Nothobranchius furzeri: one gene and its partner. The protein of the gene in region 1 purifies or fractionates together with the protein of each later gene. This does not show direct contact. Links are inferred from orthologs where the notes say so. Each region holds a gene or a part of one and is shown in the gene's direction. Other genes may lie near its edges.

Evidence for each region. The genes of interacting proteins can lie anywhere in the genome.
Region 2: the proteins of irf2b (region 1) and interferon regulatory factor 2-binding protein 1 purify together in Homo sapiens (affinity purification with mass spectrometry; 4 studies listed by BioGRID and IntAct, counting the BioPlex papers as one, with this or other methods). This does not show direct contact. The link is inferred for Nothobranchius furzeri from reciprocal best matches to the Homo sapiens genes IRF2 and IRF2BP1.

Annotation. Positions count from the first base shown.
Region 1 is NC_091741.1:103,990,989-104,001,491, reverse strand, and holds part of irf2b (interferon regulatory factor 2), read left to right. Parts: intron 1-5,536; 5' UTR 5,537-5,542; coding exon 5,543-5,629; intron 5,630-5,704; coding exon 5,705-5,804; intron 5,805-5,960; coding exon 5,961-6,137; intron 6,138-6,215; coding exon 6,216-6,262; intron 6,263-10,441; coding exon 10,442-10,503. UniProt on the Homo sapiens protein: Specifically binds to the upstream regulatory region of type I IFN and IFN-inducible MHC class I genes (the interferon consensus sequence (ICS)) and represses those genes. Also acts as an activator for several genes including H4 and IL7.
Region 2 is NC_091750.1:43,015,921-43,027,168, forward strand, and holds the start of interferon regulatory factor 2-binding protein 1, read left to right. Parts: upstream 1-5,780; 5' UTR 5,781-5,967; coding exon 5,968-7,737; 3' UTR 7,738-7,765; intron 7,766-11,248. Other genes in the region: heterogeneous nuclear ribonucleoprotein L, read left to right, coding at 2,234-2,292. UniProt on the Homo sapiens protein: Acts as a transcriptional corepressor in a IRF2-dependent manner; this repression is not mediated by histone deacetylase activities. May act as an E3 ligase towards JDP2, enhancing its polyubiquitination. Represses ATF2-dependent transcriptional activation.

The DNA of each region.
Region 1 (10,503 bases):
TGGAGGCTAGGAGAGAGATCTGGCCATCTGGTTGGGGTCTGGGGTGGTGGGTTGCTGTGCTCAGCGTTGGGCGGGGGAGCCTGCTCATCAGCACCCCAGCAGAAAGGGTCAAACTCTGGTTACCGGTGATGGTTGTACCCAATGTGCAGCAGTACCGGGACCAGAGTGAATAGGGTGTGTATGGGGAGCATGAGTAGGTGTCCGGTGTGCATTTTTGTAAGTCTTGGGTTGTATGTGCATGTGTGAGCATGAGGGAGGGAGTGTGTGACTGTGTTTGTGTATGACTGTATATGTCAGGTGGGGCCTTTGACTCCTCCCCTCTCCTGAAACTTCTTTTGATGATATAGATCTTCGTCCCCCCTCCCCCTGCCACACCTGGTGTGGGGTGTGGTGCCTTGGTCTGCCTGAGTGTTTGTGGCTCCCGGGTCAGGGGGTTTAAGATTTTTGGCATCTGCCTGATCAATCCAGGTGGCTGCCTGGTGGTGTCTGGGTCCCTGGGCTCTGCTGGGTCCCCGGCGGGGGTGGTGGCCCCTGGGTCCCGGGTCGCTGGGTCCCGGGCTCGGCCGGCTAGGGGGTGGGAGGCTGCGGGCGGGCCTGTTGGCTTGCCGCTGATATCTCCCGGGACTCTGCCGGCTGCTGGTTGTGGCCCCCCAGGGCGATCCTCTGTGCCTCTCGAGGGGGGCGTTGGGCCTTTCTGGTTGCAGTCTCCTTGGGGTTCCTGTGTTCTGGGGCAGCGCCTGGATCTCTGGGACTTGGAGCTCCCCCCGTCTCCTACGCATCTTTGGGGGGCGGATCTGTGGTCCCTCACACTCTCTATTGGACGCTCCTATAGAGAAACCTTACATAAACAAGCGCGTGTACACACACAGGTGCTCACATGGTGCTCTCAAAAGTATGGGCTTGGGCACATTAAACACAGGTCTTAAGACTATGGTGGGCACTTAATGCACTGTGATTTATTATCGTGTGATTGTTCAGTTAAACAATGTTGATTATATATTTCTTCATCAAGTTTACACAGTGATGGCTTGATCTTGTATTGTTGTTGTGTTCCTTTTTTTTGTTCTTTTGCTTTTTTTCTTCTCTTTTTCTGCAGGTCTAGAAGCAGACTCTTGTTCATTATTGTTTATTTTTGTGGACCCCCCCTTCCCCCCTCTCTCCCCACCTTTTGTCTTTGTGGGGTGGATTCATTTCTGCTTCAACCAGTTTTAGTAAAACTGAAGATTTTGTATCTAACTTATTTTATTTAACTTAATTTCATGTTATGGAGTTAAACACGTGTTCCATAAAACCAGCCTGGAGAACATTCTGGAGACTGTTCTTTTGTTCATCGAGCTCCTGATTAAATTAGTACTTTTTAAAGGGGTGTACTCATTTATGCTGAACATTGTGTATGTATATGTATATATTATATATATATATATTAGGGCTGCACGATATTAGGAAAACCTGCGATATTCGACAACAGTGCTTAATATTGCGATATTACTCGCGATAAATGAACAAATACTAAAGTACCGTAAATCCTCTAATACAGGCCCGGGCCTCTATTTGACTCAAGCTCATCAAGCTCCAGGCCTTTATTGGAAGGAGGGCCAGTATTAGAGGCAGGCCTCTATTTCAATTTGAGCAAAATGAACTAATGTTCCTTGGAGTTTTTGACAATTAAAATTGCGCCCACATTTTCAAAGTTAAACACATTTCTTTTAACAACAGTAGTTTCTGCTTCAGCCATCTCCCCCTGCTTTAGCCCTCTCCCCCCTCCCCCTGCTTTAGCCCTCTCCCCCCTCCCCCTGCGCAGCGGCCGCAATCTCACTGATGCGCCTGCAGCCTCTCGGAGTTCCTGCTGCTCTAAACATTAAAATAATTATTTCATTTTCTGTTCCTCACTTCTGATGACCTTCAATGGTGGCTGTTTGTTGCAACAGCAGGTACAAAAACTAACTTGTTTTTATTTGACTATTTTTCTGTCCTGCCTGTTTATTATCTTCCTGCATCTCCTCTCAATCCTAAAGAAAAACTGCTACCTGGGTTCATATATATTCACCTCATGAGTTACCTTTGAACTGCAGTTCTAAAAGATCTACTGACCGCAAAAACAGCGGAGTGCTCGCTGTTTGTCGGCCGTATCAGTGATGAGTGCGTCGGAGGACAAGGTGATGCGTGCAGCGCCCCGCTCCACAGCATGCAGCAAACGCATCAGGCGCAAATAAAAGACAGAAAACATTAAAGGAAATGAACCAACATGAACGATCGCGTGTCAGTACCTACGGTCTGGCACAGCGCGTTGCCCCCACCCCCCACCCCCGAGCGCAGGAGCTTGTCACCTGCTGACAGCAGACTGCTGTCTTTTCCGAGGGCTGCATCTTGCCGGTCATTATCACGTGACAGCGACTAGTCGACGACAGGCATAAAAAGTCACTATAGTGAAGTTGACTAGTTCATACACCCCCTACTGCTGCTCTCCAGAGTGTTCTGCAGCATAATCAGCACGTTCTCTTTGAACTTGACAGTGTAATGACCTGGCTGGGGTTGTAAGCCAGGTGCTTTCTGGGTATTGTGTTATATGTGTTTCCTATCGTTCTGCTAGTTCCTATGTGCTGATTTGCGTGTTGTGTGAGTGTTATGTAAGCCACAGGGAAGTTGATGTGTGTTCTGTGGAGTGGGTTGAATTAGCATGGTTAACTGACACCGTGACTCTGTGTGGTAGGAGCGTGATAGAGGATTGTGTCTGTAGCGTTACAAAGCGTTGAAGAAAAAGCCTAATAAAGGTCTGCTTGAACCTCTACTGCCTCCTGCTGGTTCATTTGGGGACTATAACCCTGCCGCTGGGACGCTCATACTTGCTTGTTACTACATTCCACCCGGCCACAATAAGAGACCGGCCAATATTTACCTCAACTGGCTTTGACACCGGCCACAATTGGAGACCCGGCCTTTAATTGAATACCGGCCTGTATTGGAGGATTTACGGTATGCAGTGTTGATGTCGTCTGGCGTGTGATGTCTGCTCTGGGTTCAAAGCTAACAAAAACTAATGCATGAATTCCATTACAACATAACATTTTTATTGCAAAAATATGCAGCTGCACCTGCTACTGTATTAGCAGCAAAACAACAAACTGCATGCATGCAGTTTCTCAGTGACTTTAAAACATCACCTCCACCATAAAACTTTTTCTGATGCTCCAAATACAGAAAAACATCCCTTACCTGTAGGGATGCACCGATACCGTGCCAATACCAATACCAGTATCGGTATCGGTAAAAGTTTGCCGATACCAGGAACCAATACCAATGCAGTTGCTTGAAAATGGCTTCACTGTAACTTGTCATTTCTGTTCACCTAATATTTTAGTTTTGTGATGATTTCCATTCATATATTTTACTTTTTATCTACCTCACAGTCTTTTCCTGTTGAAAGCAGAGAAGAAAATAAAATCTGTATTCCAAATCATTGCATTTTTTTTGTGTGGTGGAAGTATCGGCATCGGCGAGTACTCAGATCCAAGTATCGGTATCGTATCGGTTTGGAAAAAAGAGGTATCGGTGCATCCCTACTTACCAGGGTTTTTTGAATAAATAAAAAACAGAAAATAAGTTTAAATGTTAAATAATAGTTAACATCACTTAAATGCAACAGCAAATTCTCTCATTGCTACTGAACATTTTCTCCACTTATGTGGTTATGATACAAGGCTGTTGCTGCAATTGGGAAGTGAACTGTGCTGGGCCAAACTAGGAGAATATTAAGATTTTCTGAGGGGAAGAGAAAAACATTTGTCTACCTTTCAGAAGAGGAACTGGCAAAAAAAAACTACATGGAAAATATGTGAAACCGTTTGTTTTTAACCCCAAATTGAACAAGTTTACCTAGATCTTAAAAAGCAGCTCAGATGATGAAACTGCAACTATGATTCTTTTAACAAGCTAACAAATTGAACTAGCTCCTCTAAGACAACCGGCTAGCAGAGCTTCTGACTGACAGTTTAGGTGCAGCAGCAAATCAACTATCCTGATTAGGGCTGCACGATATTAGGAAAACCTGCGATATGCGATAACAATGATTAATATTGTGATGACGATATTACTTGCGATAAATAAAAATTTAACTCAGGAACTAAATTAATCAACAACAAGGAAATAAGAAAATCATAAAAATGAGAAAAACAAAAGATGTGAGGAAAGGGGAAAAAATGAACAAGAAAAGGCGATCAGTGGATCCCAGGAAAAGCAGAATCAGCAGAAAGAGCAGAACTAAGCTAACTCAGGTGTTTGCTAACCATCTAAATTAAGTGCTGTCCGCCTTGGGGGCGGACATCTTACCTATGAGAATCCACCCATTGGGCCAAATGGATGAAGAGCTGTATTTGATTTGTTAAAAAAAACATCACACCTCTATTTGATTGACAGAATGCCTCATGTGTAGCAAACATTTGAGCTGACCATTCATTACGATATTTATCTGTTCTTTGCGATATGCATATTGTGCATGCTGATATCGCGATAACGATATATTTACGATATATTGTGCAGCCCTAATCCTGATTATCAAGATTATAAAAGCTCATAAATGAAAAATCACTTTGATGTGTGGGGGAACTTTTCCAGGCCCTCTTTAGCAGGGTGGGACTGGGAGGAGAGTGCTGTAGCCTTTTAGCTGGAAGCTAACCGGAGCCTGGGGCTAACATCACCACCCGGTGGAACACTAGCGACACAAAGGTGGGTTGGTTCACCGGCACGTGTCAGAGTCAGCCCGATAAAAGTGATTGACGACACCGAGCGGACTCACGTTCACATTTGAAAGCAGTGCTGACTCCAGAAACCTCAGCACAAAGTGCGTTTGTTGCTCTGAGCCAGCATGACGAACAAGGGAACGGCACCGCTAACTCAGTTCGGGGTTTAATTTCCATCCTAAGGGTCTACGTAGGGGGCTGGCGTTTTACGTGAACAGACCCGTCTGATTGGCCACATGTTGGTCATAATAATACTGCCACGTAAAAAACAGCTGGTTTACAAAAAGCTGATGTATGACACGGATGGGAATGTTTGAACAAAACATTTATCGCCATTTTTGTCGTGCTTTGCGATTGGCCTATCGCACGTCCTGTTATCCCGATGGCAATAATTTTTCGATATATTGTGCAGCCCTAATACATATGTATTATATATATTTTAAATATGTATATATATTTACACATATATATTATATATATATAGATATGTAGATACACATACATATATATACACACATACATATATATATACATATCTATATATATAGATATATAGATACACATACAAATATATACACACATACATATATATATATACATATATATATATATATATAGATAGATAGATAGATAGATAGATAGATAGATACACATACATATATATACACACATACATATATATATATGTATATACACACATATTATTTGGAGCCGTGGCACAGCGCCACCCTTGAGCCTATGTAGGGGAAACGCTGTGTGTGTGTACCATGACTTGAGCGTGTACACCTGTGTGTCCACAGCTGAAAATGCCCGTGGAGAGGATGCGGATGCGACCGTGGCTGGAGGAGCAGATTAATTCCTGTCAGATCCCAGGACTAAAGTGGGTTAACAAGGTAAGAGTCCACCTGGAGACGAGCTCAGACTCACGTGTTGTGGTTCACACGATAACAAAAGCACTTGATCTGCAGGAAAAGAGAATTTTTCAGATCCCCTGGATGCATGCGGCTCGTCATGGCTGGGATCTGGAGAAAGATGCCCCACTCTTCATGAGATGGGCCATACACACGGGTGACTGCTTCTCTTCTGCTGTTGCTAATCCAAGACACTTCAGAGTTATGCAATAATAGTTGGCTTACAAAAGTGGGAGGGGCAGCTCTGGGTTACTGTAGAAAAACTCTTGACCTGTTGAGTCTGAACCATGTGCTCTGGTTCATTGGGCTGTAGGTAAGTATCAGCAAGGTGTAGACCGACCCGATCCAAAGACATGGAAGGCCAACTTCCGCTGTGCCATGAACAGCCTTCCAGACATCGAGGAGGTGAAGGATAAAAGCATCAAAAAGGGTACCAACGCCTTTAGGGTTTATAAGATGCTCTCGTCTTCAGAGAGGAACCTAAAGAAAGGTGAGTTCTGGTTCTGTTCTGCTCACCTGCTGTAGATTTGACCTGAGACCTGACTTTTTCTCTTGGGTGTGTATGTAGGAAAGAAAAAGGCTGACAAGGAGGGAACGTCTAGAAGACATAAGGAGGTGGGTGAACTGTGTGTGGGGGATGTTGGGATGAGGAATGCTGATTGGACAGTGTGGTTCTGCTGTCTCACCTACACCTTGTTTTAAAGTCTGCTGGCATGTTAGTCATAGGGAACCTAAGTCATGCCCATCTACTGCCGGACCATGGGTCCCCAACTGCAAAAAGAGAAAACGAATATGACTCTGAGAGGTTAAGTCATTTCCTGATCCAGTTTGACAAATGCCATGAATTTCACATATGATGTCCGCGATTTTTAAAGACGTATTTTGATGCCAAGAAAGCTCTGATTTTTTTTAATGCTGGCGACGGTTATTTTAGGTTTTGTGTGAAAAGATGTAACGGACTAGTGGTATGAGTGTCCACCCTGGGACTGGGACTTTGTGGGTTCAAATATGGTCAGATAATACCAAAGACCAGACCGGATTTGAAAAAAGGGGACCCAATTAGGGTTGTCACTGTAACCGGTGTAGTGGTGAACCCCGGTAAAAAAGTTGGCAATAATAATAACCGTCTTGTTTTTTAAAAAATATGTTATCTCGGTGGATTACCGTGGCTGCGGTGTAGGCGCGGTGACCCTTACCAGCCACCGTATTATCTGCTGAATTTGCCGGCGGCACATGTGCACTTTGTTTACAGCCAAAACTTCCTTGAAGCTAAGCTGAAATAGCTGAAATAATGGTCAAAGGAGGAGAAGGCAGCTCTCAGGACATTTATTATCCCTCAAAGAAGACAAAGTCGGAAGTATGGGCATTTTTTGGATATTTGAAGAATGCCGAGGGACAGCTGATAGAAGACGGCTATCCTGTTTGTAGCATGTGCAGGAAAAAGTGTGTGAAAGGCAGCAACGCTTCAAATCTCTGCGTGAATTTAACAATGATTACTGCCTGATGACATTTTCCCAAATCTGCAAAGCCCACTGGAAAGACACAAACCGAGGACAATATTTTCCTGATATAGTGTTTATTACTCAAGTAAGGGTAAAAAAGTATCTGATTAGAAGGCTACTTGAGTACTGAGTATCATCTGATCTAATATTTTTTAAATGATGACATCAAACAGACAAAAAAATAAGAAGTTATGGGCAAATATTGCTATTTTAAAGACTAAAGGGGAAAAATGTAAACAAATAAACAACATAATTACAAAATAAATTTTAGGCAAAATTTAGACACAAACTGAGGACAATATTTTCCTGATATACAGGGTTTATTTAGTCGTCTGAAAATGTAACACATTTTAAAAAGTACCGCGATAATACCAAAAACCATGATAATTTTGGTCACAATAACCGTGAGGTTAAATTTTCACACCGTGACAACCCTAGACCCAATGCCTCCCAGCTTGACACTCAGCTTTAAGGGGTTTGATTGGGGTTTAAACCACCAAATGGTTCCAGAGTGTGGATGTGTCTGCAACTCACCGCTCCCCATGGGAATGGGACGAATGTGGAGAGCAAATTTCACCAGTGCTTGATGACTAATGGGACTTTATTCTTAATCTTAGTCTCACTAAATTGAGGTAATCAAACCAGACGTGGTTGAAAGAAGCATAAAACGTTGAGAAAATCACTATAAATCTGTCCTTGTTGTAAGTAAGTAAGTAAGTAAAAGTTTATTTATATAGCGCCTTTCACAGATATAAATCACAAAGCGCTGTACAACATGATAAAGATCAGGGCAAATACCTCTAACCTTTGTAAGCAGCATCTACGCTTGGGGAGAGGACGTCATATATGCCACGTCTGATTTGTAGACATTTTAATTACAAATTTTAACAAGCTAATAAAGTACATGATGGTCAGAGTCAAAACAAATTACTTTTTTTTTAAATTGAGGTACAACATGTGATTCAGGGAGTAAGGCAAAGCTGGTTCGAGAATTAACTTATCGACCTGTTCGGGGGCCCGTGAGCTGACCAAAAAGGGAGGAGACTTAGGTTCCCCGTTGCTAAAAGACTTTATGGAGAATAGGATTGCAGAGATTAACCTGTCTGACTATCAACCATGGTGTGAAACGCTGCACTTAACCTACTGTAGACATTTCCAACACCGCAACAGGACAACAGTGTGACTTGCGCAAACCAAAACGAAAGTGAAAGTGTGTTCATGTTTTTCATTTATTTGTGATATATATATAATTTTTTTTTCTAGTTTTCACTTAATAGAAAAAAACGACATTAAAAAAATTCAGCTTGCATTATTTTTTGTCTAAATGTCAACCTATGCATCAGTGTTGGCAAAAATTGTGCCTGGAAAACCTCACCAGGGAGGCATCCAAGAGGCATCCTGACCAGGTGCCCGAGCCACCTCAACTGGCTCCTCTCGATGTGGAGGAGCAGCAGGTCTACTCCGAGCCCCTCCCAGATGACCGAGCTTCTCACCCTATCTCTAAGGGAGAGCCCAGCCACCCTGTGGAGAAAACTCATTTTGGCCACTTGTATCCGCGATCTCCTTCCTTCGGTCACTACCCAAAGCTAGTGACCATAGGTGAGGGTAGGAACGTAGATCAACCGGTAAATTGTGTAAATCACATCAACTAACACAGCCCTACAACGTCCAGAGCCTTAAGAATCTCTGGGTGTATCTCATCCACCCCCGGGGTCTTGCCACAATGGATTTTTTTGACCACCTCAGTGACCTCGGCCCCAGAGAGGAGTCCAACCCAAAGTTCCCAGACTCTGCTTCCTCACTGGAAGACGTGCCAGTCGGATTGAGGACGTCTTATAAGTTTTCCGCCCACTAATCCACAACGTCTCAAGTAGAGGTCAGCAGTACACCGTCATCACTGTAAACAGTGCTGATAGCGCACTTTAGGTTTGAGAGCTTTTACTTCCTGAGACGCTGGATGGTGGACCAGAATCTCCTTGTTACAATACAGAAATCTTGCTCCATGGTCTCACCAAACTGCTCCCACACCCGGGTTTTTGCCTCCGCGACCACCCAAACCGCATCCTCCCCCACCACCAAAACCAACTCCGTGGTCAGTTGACAGCTCCGCCCCTCCCTTCACACGTGTGTTCAAGACATGCGGCCGCAGATCAGATGAAATGACAACAAACTAAGTAGATCATTGAACTGTAGCCTAAGGTATCCCGGTGCCAAGAGCACATATGGACACCTTGAACATGGTGTTGCTTAGACAGTCCATGACATGCACAGAAGTCCAGTAACAAAACAGCGTTCAGATTCAGATCAGGGGGGTCGTTCCTCACAACCACACCTATCCAGGTCGAACTGTCGTTGCCCACATGAGCGTTAAAGTCCCTCAGCAGAATGAGGCAGTTGAAGGAGCACTCTCCAGCACCCTGTAAGGACTCCAAAAAGGGTGGGTAGTCTGACAGCCGTGGTGCCTGTGGTCCTCGGGGCAGTAACTCCCAGACTGGAGGAGTGGCTAAAGCAGATCCCAGGAAAGACATCAGACATCTCAGTCCAGAAAAGAGCAGCTCTAGGAACAGCTAAGATACTGCAGAACCCTCAAGCTCCAAGCCTCTGGTAAAGCTGTGTTTCCCAACCCTGGCCCTCAGGGCACACTGCCCTGCATGTTTTCCATGTTGCCCTCTTAAGCACCCATGTTTCCCTGCTGCCTCACACCTGACTTAAATAAATGAGTGATTAACAGGCATCTGTAGCACTTGATGTCCTCCTGAGGAGGTAATATAACTCAGGTGTGCTGAAGCAAAGGACAACAAGCAGATCAGTGGTCCCTGAGCACCAGGGTTGTGAAACACTGGTAGAGGACCTGATCTTGGAAGGATGGGACCACCCGTGGAGGGTCAGATGGGATTTTTTTTATACAAGGTAGTTTCCCTGCTTTGACAGAAACCACAAAGCCCAGCAGTCTATCATTGTCTATCATCCATCATATTTTATTAGACTGACAATTGAAGGTTGGAAGAAGTTAACATATCGCCCAACCCTACTACCCAAGTTGACACACCCCTACTGAAGGTGGTTTCATCCCAACAGAATAGTGAGCAGCTAGAGTTGGAACAGGACCTGTTAAATGTCGTCCTCATAACAGATGGGAAGGTGAGGGCTTGTAGAAGCAGTCTGATCTCTAACTAGCTGTTTGTTACTGAGGGGTTCTGGTAACTAGTCTGTTTATTTCTGGTGGAACGTGAGCCTTCAAAGCCCAAAGCTTGCAGCCAGTCTGAATATTCTTCCTCTGTTTTCATCTCAGTCTGGACCTGCTGACCTAATCAAAGAGGAAATCCTGAAAGAGGAACTGGTGGAGGTTACAGT
Region 2 (11,248 bases), on another chromosome or scaffold:
TTACGTCTTGATTACTGTAAGACTGTGTATGCTGGTGTGTGCTCGGGTGCAATTGCTCACCTTTAACTGGTCCAGAATTCTGTGGTGAGATCCTTGTCTGGTTCTAGGAAGAGGGAGCATGTCACTCCTGTATTGGTGCAACTTCACTGGCTCCCAGTTGAGTATTGGGTTGGGTTTAAAATCACATATTCAACCAATAAGGATGGGTTCAATAGCATTTTGTTGCTGAGGGACAGAAAAAGCTGCAAACAACACAGGCGTGATGTAGCGTTGCAATGATTATACATTTTGGTGGTACGATTATAGTGTGAGAAATCATCAGTTTCAGGATTACCGTGATTATTTACATGAATTGATTTCGCATATGTATTAACATATATATATATAAATCACACACACATTCTGTAAATTATTGATAAAAGGCATAATTACATTCTATAAAGGTTTAGAACCCCTGAATTATCTGTCATTACTTTTCAGAGATTTTGCTCAGAAAAATGCTCTCTACTACTCATTATCTCCACAAATAACACAAGCCTGGAGAAGTTCTGCTGTGAAGTGGAGTTGCTAATGTTAACAGTTAGCTTCTACTAGTTGAGATGTTCTCTGCTGTTTCATGGACGCTAAACCAACAACAGCCTTCCCCATTCTGAGTCAAGATGGGTGAGTACATGAATGTTAAGTGACAGGGTGACGTAGATCTGTCAGGCCTTTCTAATCCTAGAGTTTCACCATCTAGTTTCTATCAGAAGCTAAAGCAGGAGACTATTTTCATGTTCAGCCTGCATGAAACACTCAGAGTAATTATCAAAAATAATCATTAAAAAATATTTTTCAGTGAACCACACCTTTAATTATATTTGCTTAATAGCCGTTTTTGTGTTTCAATAAAAAGACAAGAAGGTTTAACTGGTCAGGGTTAGCACTGAAGGATGGAGACACCTTAATGAATAAAGATGCTAGATTCCTACTAGTGCAGTTGTTGTTATGAATTTTACCTATTAAATGTAATTCATACTTGTTTATATCTTTTCAGATTTCATCAATAAGAATATTATTTGAACAAGGATAAATTATATTATTGCTATGTAGAACAAGAATTACAGAGAGGTGTAGTTGATAAAATATGAAAAATGGGTTGCCGCACAGGCTTGTTGTAGACGGGTACCGGGGAAACGTAGAACAGCACAATATGAACCGTTGTTCACTGGATTGTTCTAATATTGCTGTTAAATTCGTTCAGCCACTAATGTAATCTGACTCACTGGGACCTCATTTGTCTGCGTGATGATATCAGTGATGATAAATTGGGAGTGTAGCAACTTTTATTTTTCTGCCAGCTCTGTGGATGGATGAGACATCGTTCTGAATTTCTCTTTTAGCAGCTTTGGGAGTCTAAAATATTCCCTCACAGGAGACTTGAAGTGCTTCCTAAGTGGAAACAGAGAAGTCCCGGTGATTGTTGACGCTGGTTCTGCTGGGTGCGTTCGTTTCAGTTTCACTTTTGCTTTGGTTCACTTTTTTTTTTTTTTTTTTTTTTGCGGTGTTGGAGACATCTTTACAGTGGGTTAACCGCAGCTGTCCACACAGTGGTTAATAGTCAAACAGGTTAATCCTTGCAACCCTAACGTGATCAGCTGTCACAGAGCGAAGTAAACAGTGAGACAAAACTTTAGATATTGGAGAGATGTGAAAGATAGTTACTTCTCTGTAGTTTAGTGTTTTTTTTACGTATTTGATGAGAAGGCTGAATGTCCAGCAGACAGCTCAGCTGTTTAGCTTAAAGACAGAAAAATGAGACTTGCAGCCAGAGTCTGACGCCAAAGCGAGGGTTTTGAAAAAGATCTTTCCTCACTGAGGAAGATAAGCTGGGTCTTCAGTTGATTCTAATAAGAAGTGTTAATGGCGGCACTTTTTTACTTATTTATTTATTTTTTTCAGCTTTATTTTGTTAGCTGTCTGCTTTAGTGATGTATGCTTCCAGGAGGTGCGCTCATGCCACTGCGTGTCCTGCTGGAGCGAGGCGTTGTGCAGCCTGGCTAACTTCCTGGGTCTTTTATTCTATTTTTATTATTTGTTCTTATGATATCTGCTGTTTTTATAACCTTTTTACCATGCACTGTGGTAGTGAAAACACCGTAGGCTTCTGTGAATGTAGTGGAAGGTGCTATAGAAATAGATGATTGGTTGGTAATTGAAAGCTTTGTCTTTCTCTGTTTTCTCTCTCTTCTAGGTGGGCCTTATCCTTACACACTCAAGCTGTGTTTCTCAACCGCACACCACACCAACTAACACTGCCCTCTCAGTTTGAAGTCTTTAACCTGCAGTTCTGTTGGCACATTTTGTTGATCGTATATTCACTAAAACTAGAAATAATGTGCGTGAGAAAATGTTTCTTATATTTAACCTTTTTCATGAATTCTGTTTTTATATCAATTATTTTTGTATGTTCACGTCACAACCTCTCCTCTTGTATCTGGCTTTGAAATACAAGTTAAAATGAGAGTAGTCAGAGTACTTGATCATTGACTGTTGTTCCTAATATCATGATTTAATAATTAAACAAATCCCATGCTGTAGTTCTTTTTTAAAACACAGAGCAGTTTGGTTACCTGTTTTCCCGCTATGCGGGAAAACAGGTAACCAAACTGCTCTGTGTTTTAAAAAAGAACTACAGCATGGAATTAGAGATACGACACAGCAAGAACACAACTAAGGTTAAACAAATCCGCTCATGAAAATAGATGTTGTCATCTAGGTGAACAGCCAGCAGTGATTCAGTGCTACTTCTAAAATTGGTGTGGATGCTGTTCTAATAGAACAGAAGAACTGGAAGTGGTGTTTAGACCAAATCTGTGTCCAGCTGATGCTTCCTTCTCATGATGCCGATACTGTTCTTTTTACTTTTGTTGGAATAATTTCATTAAACATCTCACACGTAATAATCGTGTGGACTACACAGTTTTTCAGACATTTCCCACTTGTGTTTGTTGTAATAATCTGTTCTGCTTCAAATAAAGCTTGAAATTGAGCCGTGCTTTCTCTTAAATTCTTACCAACTCCGGAACCCGCAGCACGTCTCAACTGATGGTCTCAACAGATGTACTTGGAGCCAGGTATTTGTTGTGTCAGGCACTTGTTTACCAAAGAAGTTCGAATTTTAGAACTAAATTTAGAATTACTTTTAATTTTTTATATGACCACACATAACAAATAAATCTATAAAATTACAGCAAGGTGGCTCTTGGCCCATTGAAAAGTTTGTGTCAAACTCACAAGTCTAGAAAGGACAGCAGCAGCAAAAATGCATGACAGGAGATCAAAACATGGCGGTAAAACTTGTGATGAGAGCTCAGGTTTTGCGGTTCACGTGTGCTTTAACCCTTAGAGGTCACTTGTGCTTTTTTTTTTTTTTTTTTGCACAGGCAGTCATTTTTTTTCAATAACTTTGATTGTGCTGATGCAATTCTTTTTATGTTTTGCTCTGGTGTGTGTTCTTGGGGAAGTTTATCAAAAATAAAATGTTCACCCCCTACTCCATTTAAAACATTGCATAGACAAAAAACGGACGTCCCTCAGACATTTTTAGTGCCATTGACTCCCATTCAGACATTTTTTAAACAAAGCTAAATATCCATGAATTATTTTCTTTTATTTCACTCCAACTGTGTTCCTGTTTTTTCCACCAAACGGCATAAATTTTCTATAAATAGCAGGGCACTGATTTATAACACACATGGTTATAATATTTTATTTATTTTGTTACAAAACATTGTGTTAAAGGGTTAAATCTTCAAAACACTCAAATATTTTACTATTTTTGGTGAGGACTGAAGCTAAGGAAAGAATCTGTAAAAAAAAAAGTTTTGACTTGAAATATGTAATTTTTATTAAACATTTTGCTAAAATGCATTTTTTTGTGTGAGGGACCTAAGTTTGAGTTTTACTGAATATCTGACAATACTCAAAAATATACAGAGTACACAAATCCTGTTTTTATGCTCATTTGTGAGACTAGAGCCGTCACAATTCACTCCCAAAAGAAGTCCTCTGGACATAACACACAAAATATGATTTAGTTTTTTATATTTTTATGATGTTGATTTTTTTTTTGACAAAACTCACCTCACGATAAATGGGAGCCAAAACAAAAGTGTTGCATTTATATTTTTGTTCAGTGTATTTAACATTTCAGAGGAGCAGCAGGATGAAGTTAACTTCTTGGAGTATTTAAAAACATCAGTTTTAGGTAGTAAATATGACAGATATTCATCTTGGTTTTAATGTTCCACCAGGTTGTGACGCTGATCCAGCAGGTACCATCACCTCTGTTGCTGCTGATCATAGCTGCTTACTGAGGGACAGAAAATAAATAAGCTTCAAATTCAATTTAAAGATACTTTATTAATCCCAGAGGGAAATTAGAGTTTCAGTACACAATTCTGAGATCAGAGATACATACATAGGCAAGACACATGACAAGAATTGGTGACTGTGGTCATTCACAACCCGTCGCACTACCTTAATAGAGATCAGAGGGTTTATATGAGGACTGAGTCAGGTGGAGGAAAAAAAGGCACTTCAGAGTTACCCTCCACAGGGAGGGCAGCTTTGCTATGCAAAAAACACCTCAGACAGAAATGTAACAGACTTCAGACATCACACAACATAAGTGATACATTTATTTAGAGAGGCTTATTCAGTCTCCAATATGACATTTCTGCAAGCTTGTTTACATGGAGACATTTAAGAAGATTTATTTTTTATTTTTAAGGAAAATAATATCTCTTGAATGTAAGTTCATATTCTTGTCAATAAAGTGAAATTAAAATGCTGTCCAAAAGCAAAAATATTTAACAAATACACAATCATAGAACAGGCGTGGAATTGTCTCAGAAGCTGTACAAGAGTCAACTAACTATTTTCTATATTTTTTAATAAAATATTTTATAGGATATATTTGATTAACTATTTTAAAAGGAACTTCTTTAATTTTGTTGATGACCATATATTTATCAGCAATACTGACCAATTATTACTATTTATTGTATTCTCCCAAAAGAACTGACATTTAGGAATCATTGTGAATAAACTTTATGTTTGAAAAATGTTTTGTTACGTTTTCTGTCCAGCATGTGAATTCCATTATTCTTTTGGTGTTAGCTGTAAATTCGGTTTTGTTTTGGAATAGTCTAATAAAACCAGGTGGAACTGCATCAAAAACTATCGAGTAATCTTTCACAGAGATTGGAATATTTAAAGTTTTGAGAAACTCAACCTTCTTTATCATGATCCGACCACACTAGTCGGAATGACATTCAGATATTAGTGTGGCAGAAATAATAATAATAATAATAATGATACAAATATAATGATAATAATAATAATACAAATAATAATAATAATTTAATGTATATTTAACAGTGATATTAGAGCTAAAAGGATGAATATTTGTTTATTTATTTTTTTTACTTTATCTTCTTGCATTAATTTTTTTACCTTTATCCCACATTTGGCGAGTTGGGATCTGGTGTGTGTGTGTGTGTGTGTGTGTGTGTGTGTGTGTGTGTGTGTGTGTGTGTGTGTGTGTGTGTGTGTGTGTGTGTGTGTGTGTGTGTGTGTGTGTGTGTGTGTGTGATGACGGTAGTAAAAAGATGGGGAGAGATAAAACTGCCTGCGTACCTGTTAAACTCCAGTACCCACAAGGCTTTGCGCTTGAGTCACGTAGGTGTTTCCGGTGTCTTATAACATTTTACTTCCTCCCACACAGACCACACGAACAAACAGATACAGAAAACCTCGTTAGTTTACACTTTTGTCGCGTTCCAGTGTTGTTTTTACTCTGTTTCTGTTGAATAAGTCGTGGCATGTGACGCGAACTGTCCGAGGGTTGAAGAATAACCGAGAAACACGAACCGTAACGTGTAGGCCTCTAAAGAAAGTTTGGTCTCCGGGCCTGTAAACAACATGTCCTCCGCCTCGCAGTCTTCCTCCAGACGCCAGTGGTGCTACCTCTGCGATCTGCCCAAGATGCCGTGGGCCATGCTGTGGGAGTTCAGCGAAGCGGTGTGCCGGGGATGTGTCAACTACGACGGCGCGGACCGGATAGAGCTGCTTATTGAAACCGCCCGGCAGCTGAAGAGCACTCACGGTGTTCTGGATGGCAGGTCTCCGGGTCCACCGCAGGGCAAGCCCAGCTCAGTCGGTTCCGTAGAGGTGGGTCGGCAGCATGGTGAACGTGTAGACAGAGGGAGGGGGGAATATGGGGCGTCCTCTCGGCTCCCCAATGGTCTGCACAGAGCTGAAGATGTGGCCTTGTCTGAGGGGAGCCGTCAGAGCCCGAACACCCGTCGGGCTGTCGCTGGTTCAATACCCGGTCTGCATGGCTCCATATCTCATGCTTTAATAGCTCAGGGGCTAGTAGCAGCTCCTCACGGGCTTTTAGCTCCCTTACCGGGCTCCAGAGCCGGGGCCACGTCCATTGCAGTTTCAGCTGGCCCTGTAATGAGTGATGCTGGCAGAAGGCAGGCAGTATCTTTGAGCGTGGGAGCCAGCACCTCTGCTCTTGTGGGATTAGATCCAGCAGTTTGGAGGAACAGTGAACTGATGGCAGAACTGAATGAGGTGGCCCGCAGCAGGGTCGAAGGTTGGCCAAACCACCCAAAGGCAGTCCGGGATGTTCTTGTGTCTCTCAGCAACTCCATCCCCTTCAACGTGCGTTTCAGGAAAGACCATAACCTGCTGGGTCGCGTCCTGGCTTTTGATGCCAGCACAACTCCAGAGTTTGAGCTGAGGGTGTTTGTGGAATATCCTGCTGGCTCTGGAATCATATTCTCTGGAATCTCAGACCTTGTTAGGCAGATGTTCCGGGATTCAGCCAAAGATGCAGGCAAAGCAGTGAACTCTGGGCTAAGATACGTGGAGTACGAAAAACGACAAGCCACAGGAGACTGGCGTGGTCTGTCTGAGCTGCTGAATGACGGTGTACGCATGTTTAAAGAGCCCCCAATCCCAGAGGTCCTGCCACAGCCAGACCCTGTACTGTCTTTGGCAGCTCCTGGGCGTCCAGGACCAGCAAAGGGAACAAGCAGACGCCGTAAGGCTTCTCCTGGCTCAGAGAATGGAGAGAATGACGGGAGACTAGATCATCCATCAAGGGAACCCTGGCCTCGAGCTGCCTACACAGAACCTCTTCCGGGCATGGCTGCTCCTCAAGAAAGCTTGCCACGTTTACACAGCCAGCCTTCACCCATTTCTGCTCTCATGGGAGTTGCAGACAGCCTGAGCTCTAGTCAGATGGCTCGAGAAAGCCCCAGCATGTCTGCAGCCCACTCCTCGGGAGCTGGGCACTCCACCAGCAGCAGCCCCTCCACCGCCTCCACCTCAGCCTCCCAGGCAGCCATGGGGCAGGGTCTGAGTACAATGGGGCCTAGTAGTAACACCAACACCGGGGAGAGCACGAGCAGCACACAGAGCGCCCTGCTCTGCTGCACCCTCTGTAGAGAGCGTCTGGAAGATACACACTTTGTCCAGTGTCCGTCTGTCCCACACCACAAGTTCTGTTTCCCCTGCACTCGAGGATTCATCCGCAGCCAGGGTCAGGGTGGGGAGGTGTACTGCCCAAGTGGGGAGCGCTGTCCCCTGGCTGGATCCACTGTGCCTTGGGCTTTCATGCAGGGAGAGATCTCCACCATCCTGGCTGTAGATGGAGATGTGAAGGTCAAGAAGGAGGAGTGATCCTTGAAGTCTCCACCATCCTGTCATGGTAAGATATAGAGAAAAACAAACGAAAACTAACACCCTTCTTCTCTATCGCTGACGAGAATTAAAACTAATGTTTTATGGTCTGCTGAGCTGATATTTACTTTACTAAAATTTAACTGGTTGGGGGATCAGCCGGTCTAAAGCACACAGTACTTCCATTTTCTCACTCTTCTCTTTGTTCTGTCATCACAAAACTAATCACATTCAGTGCAACACTTGAATTAGGTTTGGTGCCACACTTTCTGTGGGACCAATTTGATATTTCTTTGAGACTGATGCTGCTGATGCTGTAAAAGTAGCAAAATATTCTTATATGACTGTGGGCTTTTTAATCCAACTAGACGGTCCCAGGGGGTTTCCTGTACCAACGTAGCTGGTTTGAGTCAGCCGGCTCCTGCAGAACTTGAGGTGCTGATGAGGTGGTCCAAGCACTGAATCAGGATAACAGCTAAAACATGCAGGGCAGTAACCATCTAGGACAGTGGAGTCAAACTCAAATTCACACTGGGCCAAAATGAAAAACTGGGACGATGTTGCGGGCCAAACTCAATATATATATTTTAAAAGTGAGACAAATGTGTACATTTTCCTTTATCTACAGATGTGTACTGTTGAAGCTTTTCATTTGGAAACAAACTTATTTTTACCAAAACACTGAATGTGGAATAAGGAAATCACACACGAGCAAATGGACCTTAAATAAAGCACACATCAGTGGTATTTGTTACTTAGTTATGTTTCATTTATTTACTCTTTTTATTCCTTGTTTTTTGCTCTCGCCTGTTACCTTTGTGCTTTGAAGCAGAAAAAGTGCCTAAAATCAAAATAAGCCAAGCTCAGTTTGCTCCACTGTGATGCTCACCTGTTCCAGCCAGACACCTGCATGTCTGGGGTCGGGCTGTGAGCTGAGGAAGGAGTTCATCAGTGAGGCTGCGGTGTTGTTCTGTTCATCTTCATCACAGACAACAGAAGAGCGTGAGTTTTGTCCGCATAGCTGGTAGTAAGTCGGACCTGTTCCCAGTGAGGGTTGGACTCCGCCAGGGCTGCCCTTTGTCACCGGCTCTATTCATTACCTTTATGGACAGAATTTCTAGGTGCAGCCGTGGTGTGGAGTGTGTCGAGTTTGGTGGCAGGAGAATCTTGTCTCTGCTTTTTGTGGATGATGTGGTCCTCCTAGCTTCATCCAGCTCTGACTTTCAGCTCTTGCTGGGTAGGTTCACGGCTGAGTGTGAAGTGGCTGGGATGAGGATCAGCACCTCCAAATCTGAGACCATGGTTCTCGACCGGAAAAGGGTGGCTTGCCAACTCCGGGTCGGGGGAGAGGTCCTACCTCAAGTGGAGGAGTTTAAGTATCTCGGGGTCTTGTTCACGAGTGAGGGTAGGAGGGATCGAGAGATCGACAGGTGGATTGGTTCGGCGTCTGCAGTGATGCGGACGCTGAGCCGATCTGTCGTGGTGAAGAGGGAGCTGAGCCAGAAAGCCAGGCTCTCGATTTACCGGTCGATCTTCGTCCCAATCCTCACCTATGGTCATGAGCTTTGGGTAATGACCGAAATAACGAGATCGTGGATACAAGCGGCCGAAATGAGTTTCCTCCGTAGGGTGGCTGGGCTCAGCCTTACCCCCAAATTCCACTACCTCCGCTCCGCTGCGCTCCGCTCCGACACGGACGCCGGAGCAAAATCGGTCCCGTTCTAGTCAATCAGAGCAATTCCACTACTGCGGCCGTGCTCCGGCAGTGCGGCGCCGTGCGGCGCCCTCTGTTCCGACGTCCGGCAAAAATAGAATCGATCCTATTTTTGCCGGACGCCGGAGCACCTCCGCAGTAAATGGACAGAAATCACAACGGCCCAACAGGAAAAGGAGCAAGCACATCTTCCGTTTTTCACAATAAATCGCTAAACAAAAGGCGTTTTTTGTTTCATATGCACAGGTTTAACAACTTTTAACAACTATCAATGGCGGCTGAAGTTTAAATGCACAAAAATAAGCCATAAATACAGTTGCCACTATCAAAGTAGTCACACTTTGTTGATCCAAACACTGCTGATCTCTCAACACAATGATGGGCAGATTAAACAGCTCATTTCCGATGCTTCTCCCGCACAACGGGTGTTTGGATCTAACTTCCGCGTTTATTGCTCGGACTGTATCGCAAGATCTCGAAAATCCCGCGCATGCTTGTTTGTCCCCCTCAGGTCTCCGCACCGGAGCGGAGCCGTTGTAGAGCGGGTACCAGTAAAATTGAGTTCGGAAGCGAGCGGCTGCGGAAGGCGGGGGCGGACCGGAGCGGAGCGGAGGTAGTGGAATTTGGGGGTTAGAGATAGGGTGAGGAGCTCGGACATTCGGGAGGGACTCGGAGTAGAACCGCTGCTCCTCCGGATTGAAAGGAGCCAGTTGAGGTGGTTTGGGCAGATGCCTCCTGGACGCCTCCCCGGGGAGGTGTTTCGAGCATGTCCTGCCGGCAGGAGGCCCCCAGGTCGACCCAGGACACGTTGGAGAGGTTACATCTCCAATCTGGTCCGGGAACGCCTTGGGGTCCTGCCGGGGAGAGGACGGTCTAGAGCTCCCTAGTTGGGATGCTGCCTCCGCAACCCAGACCCGGATAAGCGGAGGAAGACGACGACGACAATGTAATGGTGGCATGTCTATTATGTACGGGTTGGCAGTAATCCAGTTTAAATTATGTTCAAAGATAGAAGCGTTTGTGAATTATATACTACAACGGCTTGCCATACTTCCTGCACCAGCAGTAATGTATGTGACTCGTATCTGCAGCGGCTCTGATCCGTAACGCTGCAGGATGCAGAATAAACAGGATGGTGGGGACTTTTCATCCGCTTGTAGAGTTTAGTCTTTCTTAGTTTTACCGTCATCATATATTTTTTGTGCGCCACTTGATCGTGAGACTGCTACCCGTTAGCTTTAGCATTAGCCAATCTGCATGTAGCTGCACTTCTGATCCCAAACTTTGGACCGGTTCTGCCTTTGCTGGTTCCTGTATTTTCCTCCACTACATCCAGATGACCACACTATGCACCAGTAAAAAGCATTTTTCTTACACGTAACTTACTTTTGTTCAATAAAGTTCTGGGGAAAATAGTAAATCAAAGATGTTGCACCAGTTCTACGTTTAAACATAGACAGACACGCACAGACAGTTTTTTTCGCCGCACTGTACAGCTCTGATATGGAAGAGCCTGGGGGACAATCAGGATGTCAATAGCACCAACCATAGATATGTACTGACTAGGGACAAAAGCTATTTTTGATCTTCTTTGTCTGCAGCGGTTTTAGTGCTTTTCGGTGCGCCGCTGCTGATACAGCGCCCCTGTAGTGGCGCAACGCTGCAACTGCAGTTAAAATAACATCCATGTAGCTGGGGGCAGAGTGAAATCAGGCTGGGGCGGCACAACATTAGCTGGAGGCGGCCGCCATGCAAATTTGAACGCAGGAAAAACCCTGATTTCAGAGGAGCAGCAGA